2 linked regions of the Oryzias latipes genome follow. The protein of the gene in region 2 interacts with the protein of the main gene of each other region in a pairwise test. Links are inferred from orthologs where the notes say so. Each region holds a gene or a part of one and is shown on either strand. Other genes may lie near its edges.

Region 1 (5,266 bases), on a different chromosome or scaffold from region 2:
AAATGGTTAAAGATGTTCAGGTTTCTTTGTGTTTGTTTATACAGAGAACGTTGTAGTTCAAACCGTGGACAGAAAGTGTGTGTGTGTGCTAGCCTGGGGGCGGGGCTGGCAGCACAGACTCTTCCTGGAAGGGGCGGTTCCTCACTTTGTGATGTTGCGATTGCGGTTTGGAGGGCCTGGTGCTCAGAGAGCAGGATTTTAGAGGATCAAAATACCACTTTTGGAGTTTTTCTTTTGAGGAATGAACATTATAAAACACTTAAAATCTCAAAAAGTTGATTTTGCGTTATATATCATTTCATGAAGATTTTTCCTGACAAGATGCAGTACAATCAACCCATCAAACCCATTTTCTTTCTATTTTTTATGGCCAACAGCTTTTCATTTGGCTTTTTATTTAAGAATTCATGAATGTATTCCTGAAAGTTACACTTCTGTTTCATTTTATTTGCTGGATCTGTGAACACGGGGCTGCATGGGGCGCAGTGGTTTGTGTTTTGGCCTCATAGCAAGAAGGTCCCAGTTCAAATAAAGTTTACATGTTCTCCCCGTACTCATGTCCTCCCACAGGCCAAAAAAGGCTTCATAGGTTGATTGATCTCTCCAAATTGTGCCTAGGAATGACTGAGTGTGTGGAATCTGCAGGGATTCAGCAGGTTTAGAAAATGAATGGATGGATGTAAACTCCGTTTTTTAACCAAACAAAATAGACTTTTGAAAAGAAATGTGCGAAAATGAATTCATATTTGATCCAATCCTGACTTTGACCGTGATGTCAGGGGCCACTTCTTAGTTTTGAGCTGCTTTCACCCTGAATCTCCGTCTCCTTGGTTTCAGGGCCTAACAGCAGGAGTGATGGATCAGCGGTCGCTCTGAAACCTGAGGTTCTGCGTTTCTTCGATGGTTTAAATCATGGACGACGACGCTCTGAACACAACGGCGGCGCAGGCCGAGGAAGTCGGTGAGCCACTTGGCAAAGCGGAGAACGGAGGAAACCCGCTGGCGGCGGATTCCTTCGACGACAGCATGGCGGGTCTCAACAAAGGGGGCCTCAGCAACAATGCCGACAACCCTGCACCGCCAGCCGGAAGCCCCAACCCAGAACCCCCAGGAGGAGTGGCGCTCAAAGTGGCAACAACTGTCATCCACCCCGTGTGTTTGGGAGACAGCCCACTGATGCTGCCCATCCACCTTCAGATGGCTGGAGCCTCCGCCCCTCAGCTCGGCCAGGTGGGGGGAGCGCCCTATCTGATCACAAGTCAAAGCCCAGTTTCACTTCCACTGGTTCTGGACCAGCAGGTCATCCAGCACATAAGTCACTCTGTGATCCCTCAGAGCCCCGGCTGTACGCAGTTGCCGCGCCAGAACAGCCTTCTGTGTCAGAACCCCTTGACCTTTGGCCTACCCGCAGCCGTGGACCCAAAGGCGGCGGGGCAGGCTCAGGACGCCAACCTTCTGTCCCTGCTGCAGAACCCGGCTTTCGCCTCCATCATCCAGGACCTCTTCCCTCCGCAGGTGGGTCCATCCACCTGTCAGTCGCCAGGCTCCTCCTTCTTCTCCCTGCCTCCCCTCACACCCCCCTATCCACCTGCTTTGGCCCCCCTGGTCCCACCAGCCACAATTTTAGTCCCTTACCCCGTCATCATTCCCCTGCCGGTGCCTCTACCCGTCCCTCTGCCCGTTCCCATTCCCATCCCGCAGACGGAGGACACAAAGGGGAACGTGCCAAAACCCGTTTGCACTGTGAATAAAAGCACCCAGACATCCGCCAAAGATGCTACCTCTCCTCCTCCACCCTCGAGGAAATGCCCGCCGTCCTTCCAGCCACAGAGCGCCACCGCCTCAGCTCAGGAAGAGGGCCAGGTTCTGGACCTTTCTGTCAGGCCTTGCCCTATTGAACCAAAACAGGAGTATCCCAGTCCACAACAGGAGAGCGTTCTGGACCTGTCAGTGCCAGGTCTGAGGAAAAAGTCTCTTCAAGCAGACCGGCAGGTGGGGTTGCAGGACCCAAGAGGAGCTGCTCTGTCTCTGGGTGTGGAATGCTCTCAGAGTTTAGACTCTAAACTCCTGGGGAGTCTGGCCTCCCTGGAGTTCAGCCGGCAGCACAAGTGGGTGGTAGACACCAGTGCCACCGGGTCCAGCTCCTTGGCGCAGGAGGCTTCTCTAAGCGGAGCCGGGAATCTCGAGATCGTCAGCGCCTCGCAGACGGCCAAGGTCATCGTCTCTGTGAAGGACGCCATCCCCGCCATCCTTTGCGGGAAAATCAAAGGCCTGTCCGGAGTCTCCACCAAAAACTTCTCCATCAAACGGGACGGCAGCCAGGGGCCGTCGCTGCAGCAGCTCTACGGGGTCCCGTCAGGGTCCCACAGGGAGCAGCAGGACCCAAACAACCCTCATAAAAAGGTTTCTAAAAGTCGAGCTATCAAACTGAAGAAGGTCAGCTCGCAGGAGATCCACTTCCTTCCCATCAAGAAGCAGAGACTGGCAGCTCTGCTTCCCAGAAAGTGATGCACTTCTGCTCCCAGCAGGAGATGTGGCACACATGGAGCCTTCAGCACTAAACCCGCGGACGTCCAGTCAGGTCTCCATTGTCAGTCAGAACACAAAGCTTCTCCTGGCTCAGTGTTTTTGAACCCAGGCCAAAGTTTTGAACCATCAGTGACGGTTCTGGACCATCATGGCAGCTTCTCTGGTTCTCCTGGTCTGAGGTTTGACTGTCCAGCATCAGCACAGACACGTAGGTTCTTCTCCTAATCCCCTTCCAGCTTCATGCACTGCACTGGAAACTGAAAATCAGAACTTCAAAGCTATGAAAATCGCTCTTTCCTTATTGGTAGCATGACTTAGCAAAACAGAAGCTGCAGCGTCCTCAAATATAAGTTGCTGCTGGCGTCCTGGCTGCTTCCTGTCTCATCAGGTGAATCCAGGCAGACGTCCCTGACGTCAGCCATGATCAGAAAATGAAGGGACCCGCTGTGGTGAAGAACTAAAGACTTTCTTTGCTTTATTGTGGAAAAAAAACGAGTGTTTTGTGTTTCGATTAGTGAGCTAGTAGAGTCCGTGTTGATCAGACTCCGCCCACTCCTGGGAGGCGGTTGTGGTTTCGTGTCTGTTCTGTTGAGCACTGAGTGTTGTTGTTATTTAATCCCATGGCGTGCACTTTTGTCTCTGTCCCAGAGTTTCCACGTCGGCTCCTGCCTCGGCCCCTCTGAGTGCAGCAGTCGTGTAAATCTGAGAGCTGCAGGCCAATAACTAACAGCAGCCACATACAGAGATGGAAAATAGTTTTTCCACTCCTTCCCGTGTGTTCTTAAGCAATCCCAGAACATCCCTGCTGTAAAAGGTCGCTCAGATTTGGACTGAAGCTCCTCTAATTTATTATCCGTACGGCTTTTATTTATGTTTCTGTTTTGGCTGAATGTGAGGACGGCTTCTTCATGTCGCTGATAAATCACCTGTTGAAGTGTGCTGCTGTTGGATATTTGCTTACTGTGCTGTGTGTGTGTTTTTTATACCTGTTAGCCTCTTTTTGACGCCGTTTTTGGAAACTCTGTGTTGTTTTTTGCCATGAAACTAAATGGGGGGGGAGATCCCTCAGTGAAGCAGGCGGATCTTTGTACTCATGCTTTGCATTAAAATGATTCAATCCCACAGCAACAAGACATTTCTTTAAGAACTAAAGTGTTCCAGATTTGTCTGCTTTTATTTTGAAAAGTTTGACTCTTTATAGCTGAAAAGTCACTGATATACTCAGAAACCATACAGATTTCTGCAGAGTTGTGTATCTTTCCCTCTCTCATGACATCATATGCATCTCAATACATTATTCATAAATCAATGCGATTCAATTAACTTTTTCTGCAACACCGTCCAATTCTTTTACCTAAATGGACACAATCTAGATATTTATCATTCACTTGGCATTTAAAGTCCCACTCCAATCCTTTTTTGATCTACTTTAAAAGTGTTCCCAGTGATCTTTAAATTATGATAATGCACATTTTTTTATCATTTTTTAGGACATAGGTTCTGCAGAGCAGCAGGAGTTCATTAAAAATTCACCTCCCAGTTGTGGGCGGGACCGTCGGCGCAGAGCAACCCCGTTACTACTTTCCCGCCCCATTGCAGAGAGTCCTGTTTTTGTGCTCTCCCTCTAGCTTACAGCCCCTCCCTAACACACCCGACCCAACATTAGCGGTGCAACAAAAACAGTGAGCAACATCGTAGCTATCCAGCCGTACAGTTCGGATCCAGATTCCAGCTCAGACGGGGACAAAAAAAAGACGTTCATGGATCGGTTTGTCTACAAGTGGATGCATCAGAATGGAGCAGAGCAAGGAGCTTAAGGCATTTTCTACGTCACAACTGAGAGCTAAAGAAATAAAATAATTTAAGCTTTAACTTTATAGACATATATATATATATATATATATATATATATATATACGGTATATATCTCCATCATCATAAGAAAACTGCTAAAAGAACATATTAAAATCATAATTTTTGAGGTGAGTCTTTAAAACAATATATGAAAGTGCCCTTTAACTATATTTTTTCTTTACATCAATTTTTTATTTTAATCAACAAAAAACAAAATGTCTTTCTGACAGCTTCAGTTCTAAAAGTTTTGGTTTTTTCAGACATCTTTGTTCTTTGTGGTTAAAACATGTCATTTTATTGTTTGCAGTACTGTGGGGAAGAAAAGGGTTATCCTGTATTTACTGTGGTTCACCTTCTGGCCATTGCAACTGACCCAGCTTAGTAGAAGCGAGCTTATGATTGGACGTCTTTTTGTTTGCATCACCTGTACATAAAAAGACAGACGGTAGAGACACAACAGAAAGAGAAACCGATTTTTATACCTTTTTACCAACAGAATCTGGTTTGAACTAGATCCAGTTTTCTAGACGTATCTGGACATCCCTGGATATTAAATGGTGTATACTTGTATACGACTTTCCTGCATTCACGGTCCCATTCACGCACAGCCGAACGCCGGCCCCGACCTGTAACCACCAGGAGCAACGTGGGGTTCAGTGTCCCCGGACACTGAGACACATGGGTGGCAACTGAACCTACGATCCTCCAATCAGAGGTCAACCGCTCTACCGTAGATGTCTTTTAATATTCTCCCTCAGATAAATGACAAGCAGACTGTTTTCCTTTAGTAGGTTATAGAAAAAAATACACATCATACCCACACCCTTTGTCGGGTGGGACTCCATGAACAAGGTACATTTTCCAACATAGTTTTCAAGTACTT
Region 2 (4,450 bases):
TCAATTAAAAGGATTTCCGTAGATATATTAAACTCTCAGAAATAAAATACAGACTCAGGATTTTATAAAGAATTATTTAAATAGTTTTTTTGTCCTTTTTTATTTTAATCAGTATAACGTTTTTCTTCACATTTATGCTAAAAGGTCTGACTTTTACAAAATGTTCAGAGAAAAAAGGCACAATTGTGCCCTTTGTTAAATAATTGAACTAATAACATCATGTTTATAAAAAGTATTTCTCTTACTTTTATGAGAAAAGTCAGAATTCTCCATTTTATTTGCACTCAAAAATGTTACTTTTTGCATTGTGAATTCAAATGTAGTTCCTATTATGAACTATTATGAAACATGAAAAGCCTCAGTCAAGTAGAATAAAACACTCTTTTATCAGAAACTGGTTGTTTTAGGCATTTAAAAGAAACTTGAAGAGGATTTTAGATTCTCCTTTTTACTTTTGTTGTTGTGTTGTGTTTTTTTTTCATGAATATGCCTTTTTTTCTAATAAAAGCATAATTTCATGTAATCCTGAGCTCAACAAGCTCCAAGTTTCTGCTTTTTCTTTGTTCATCGCGATAAGATCTAAATTTTGTTTTAACTATCAGGGAACAATCACATGAAGGAGGAAAACTACAGGTGTGCGTTGGACTGCTACACACAGGCCATTGATCTGGACCTGAGAAACGCCGTGTATTACTGCAACAGGTACTTTGGAGTCTGATTCCTGCACTTGTGCAGTATCGGGCTGCAGGTTGTCATATTTTGATGGGATAAAACGTCCTTGCAGGGCTGCAGCTCACAGCAAACTGGGGAACTACACTGAAGCCACAAGCGACTGTGAAAGAGCCATCGGCATCGACCCCACCTACAGCAAAGCGTACGGCAGGATGGGGTGAGCGTCTCTCCTGCTAACCGGAATGAGTGGCGAAAAATAGCTTCTTGGTCTGAAGGATTTTTGGGTTTTCTTTTCTGCAGTTTGGCTTTGACAGCTATGAACAAGTATCCTGAAGCAATCTCCTACTTTAAGAAAGCCTTAGTGTTGGACCCTGATAACGACACCTACAAGTCCAACCTGAAGATAGCGGAGCAGAAACAGAGGGAAGCGTCCAGCCCGGTGAGTTCCAACCCATTATTTTGTCTTCCACCCTCAACTTTGAGCATCACATGTCTGTAAATGTGTGCCGCAGATAGCGGCTGGACTGGGGTTCGACATGGCCAGTTTGATCAACAACCCGGCCTTCATCAGCATGGTAGGAGCTTTTGTGCGGTTTTTAAACATTTCCGAGAGACGCCACGAGCTGGAGCTGCGTTTGTTGTTGTTGTCCGCAGGCGGCGAGCGTGATGCAGAACCAACAGGTGCAACAACTGTGAGTTCCTTTCTCAGTAAATGTTGGTCTTAGATGGAGTTCAGCAAACGCTGAATCACTGCCGATGTGTGCTCAGCATGTCAGGAATGATGTCCAACGCGGTCGGGGGTCCTGGTGCCGGAGTGGGGGGAATGTCGGACATTTCCAGCTTGATTGAGGCGTAAGTACCCCGCCCTTGAATCCAAATGAGATACACAGTGTTCGGACAACACTTTAGGGTCGAAGACGTAAATTCAAATATGAATAACATTTTTTTTTCCCCAGCTTTGTTTTAACAGTTTGGCAATGAACTACTATGAAGCTCTGTCTTAGTAACACCACAGCTGTCGGCAGCGACACCTAAATAACGTACGCTCCGAACTACCGAAACTCCTCAACCATTTATGCAATTAGTGACATTTCCACAGACTGTTCATGAAGGCGCATCATAATTAAAAGACCACTTGGAATGGGAGTGGGACTTTAATAGTTTAACTGCTTCAGGAAATAATCTGGGCTCGTTACAAGTTTTCCCGAACCCGTTTTTCTCTGGGTTTTTAAAAAAAAACCCAAATCCTCTTAAAATTAAGCTCAATGAGACTTTCCTGTAAAATAATCCCCTCTGAGCTGAATTGTTCACTCCAGTTTAGTGTTAATGCTCTTATAATTACAATGGGTTTTAAACTGATTTGTCTACAATCTTAATGTCGTCGTTTTTCCACATTTGTCAGGAAGCATCAGGTCAACAGATCCTCTGCTCTCTTGTTCAGGGGACAACAGTTTGCCCAGCAGATCCAGCAGCAGAACCCGGAGCTGATCGAGCAGCTGAGGAACCACATCAGGAGCCGCTCCTTTAGCGGCAGCGCTGAGGAGCACTCATGATCCATGCAGGTACATTTCAAGCCGAACTCTTCCCCGACCAAACCAAAACACAAGGAACCTGAAACTTCCAACGTTTTGTTTTTTCAGTCCCAACTTTCCTTCTTCCTAAAAGAGCAACCATGCGGCGCCAAAATTAATCTCAACACCCATTTCTTTAAGTCAAATCCCCGGCTTAGCTGGAACGAAGAGACGAGGAACGGGTTGAAGGAACTTTGACTGAAGGCTCTCAAGAGAAGGCTGGAGAGCCTGGTGACGGAAGAAAGAGCCTAGAACTCATCAGCCCACTGACAGAACCCAGCGAGATCCCTTCACGTGTTTGACATGTGCCGAAGCTGCCGCCCTCTTCACTCTTCATGACCAAGAGGCGTTTCTCACACAAATTCTGCTCAATTCCGGTTGGTTTGTGACATTTATGTCATTTTTGTAGACAGAACTGTAATTTAACGCAAAACCATCCCTGAACTGGTGGGACTTGTTGCTTCACATTGCGCATCACTTTGAATCCAGGCGACTGCCGACGTGTATTGCAGTATTTGCAGCCTGTTGTTCTGTTGTTTTTAGCACTTTAGCAAGAAAAGACCTGCTGTCCCCTTTGAGCCAATCTATTCAGTTATCCGGTTTGTTTGCATGCTCTTTAATCTGGTGTTTGGGATCAGATGGATAAAGGTGTGCCGAGGCTGGATCGGGTTGATTGAAGACGCACAAATAAACGTTTTCAAAACGAACTCTTCCTCAAGTGCTCATTTAATTCAAATGATACCACCGTCCGGGTGAATACTCGATTCTGATTGGTTGCCGGGTGTTACATAGCCCAAATGTTCTATATCACCGCGTTGGCTTCCTTAAAACAAACTTTTTCTTCATCATCTGGACAATAGCAAGCGGCAAAAGGTGAACTTTCTCTCTGAACCGATGCTTTTCCTTTTGACGCTGCAGTCGAGGCTGGTGACGGTCAGCTGTTACCATGGCAACGCGCCACACCACACATCAAATACTCCACTTTTTGTGAAAAGCGTGTTTAACCGAAAAAATGACAAGAAAAAAGTTTTTTTAAAAATGGATCGAACATTGATTTATTTTGTAGGTGACCATGGCGTAGAAGGGATATCGTCAGAAATTGACGCACTTCCGCGTCGTCCGTCAATATCTGATAATTTATTATCCCATATTTAAAAGTCCTATATCATGCAAAATCACCTTTTCAAAATCAGCTTTTAAGTGTATTATAATGTTCATTTGTCACAAAAACAACCCCAATCCATTCACGCATTTGTGAGTGGTCTCTGTACTCTGAGCACCAGCCCCTCCCAATCCACAGAAACAAGTGGGTCCTCACAGTGTGACGTCACATAGTGAGGAACAGCCCCTTCTAGGAAGAACCTGCGCTGCCAGCTACGCCCCCACGCCAACATACACGCCCACTTTTTTTTCCCATGGAGCTAGTGGTGATCGGCGAAACGCTTTCTTTTTATTTGCACATCCATCCAAAAGTTCGGATGCTTTTTGTTTTCGTGGGTGAAACGCGGACACACTGCCGAGGCCGGCTCTAGGTTGAGGTCATGGAAAGGGGCGGCACCCATGCGGAGCGAAAGGCGGAGCCTCAGAGATCAAGTCGTCTTACTTCCAAATAGTAAAATGAGCTGCAAAAACTCGTATTTAATATAAAAATTGTTCTTTAGTGTGCCAGAAGTGATATGTTATCATAAATACAGATATTGTTTACTCTGAAAGGCTTAAGAAAGGCATGATATAGGCCCTTTAAACACTCAGTATTTGGAGTTTGTGACATTAATTCAGCTTTGTGCCTTAAAATATAATATAAATCAAAAGTTATTAAATTTAACTCCGCTCTCGTCTTGCTGCATCTAATATAAGCAGTTAAGAGAAATGCACGTACCAGGGCTGCCAACCTTTATCTCTAAGATGTACCCCCCTGCTCGTTTTTTTAGTTCTCTCTGCACTACTTTCTGCTCACTGAGCAAACCAGATTCAGGTTGGGAGTAACAGGAAGTTCAGGGGGAATTGGATTAAAAAGATGAGTGTGGTAGATCTTCACAGCCAGGTTTGGCAGCCCTCGCATTCACATTTTCTACTCAAGGTATTCACTGAAAAACATCCTTTTCTTCATTATCTGCTTTTTTTTAATTTTAAATAACATTTTTAATGTTTTCGTAAATAATTATTGTTTGGAGCGTCTAATATTCAGAATGATTTATTTTGGGGAA

The links.
Region 1: the proteins of sgtb (region 2) and rai2 interact in binary tests that used the Homo sapiens proteins (3 or more experiments, as listed by UniProt). The link is inferred for Oryzias latipes from reciprocal best matches to the Homo sapiens genes SGTB and RAI2.

What each region holds. Positions count from the first base shown.
Region 1 is NC_019862.2:28,824,564-28,829,829, forward strand, and holds the end of rai2 (retinoic acid-induced protein 2), read left to right. Parts: intron 1-837; 5' UTR 838-912; coding exon 913-2,508; 3' UTR 2,509-3,654; downstream 3,655-5,266.
Region 2 is NC_019870.2:4,514,025-4,518,474, forward strand, and holds the end of sgtb (small glutamine-rich tetratricopeptide repeat-containing protein beta), read left to right. Parts: intron 1-602; coding exon 603-702; intron 703-784; coding exon 785-889; intron 890-972; coding exon 973-1,111; intron 1,112-1,184; coding exon 1,185-1,247; intron 1,248-1,326; coding exon 1,327-1,364; intron 1,365-1,440; coding exon 1,441-1,524; intron 1,525-2,113; coding exon 2,114-2,225; 3' UTR 2,226-2,234; intron 2,235-2,312; 3' UTR 2,313-2,950; downstream 2,951-4,450. UniProt on the Homo sapiens protein: Co-chaperone that binds directly to HSC70 and HSP70 and regulates their ATPase activity.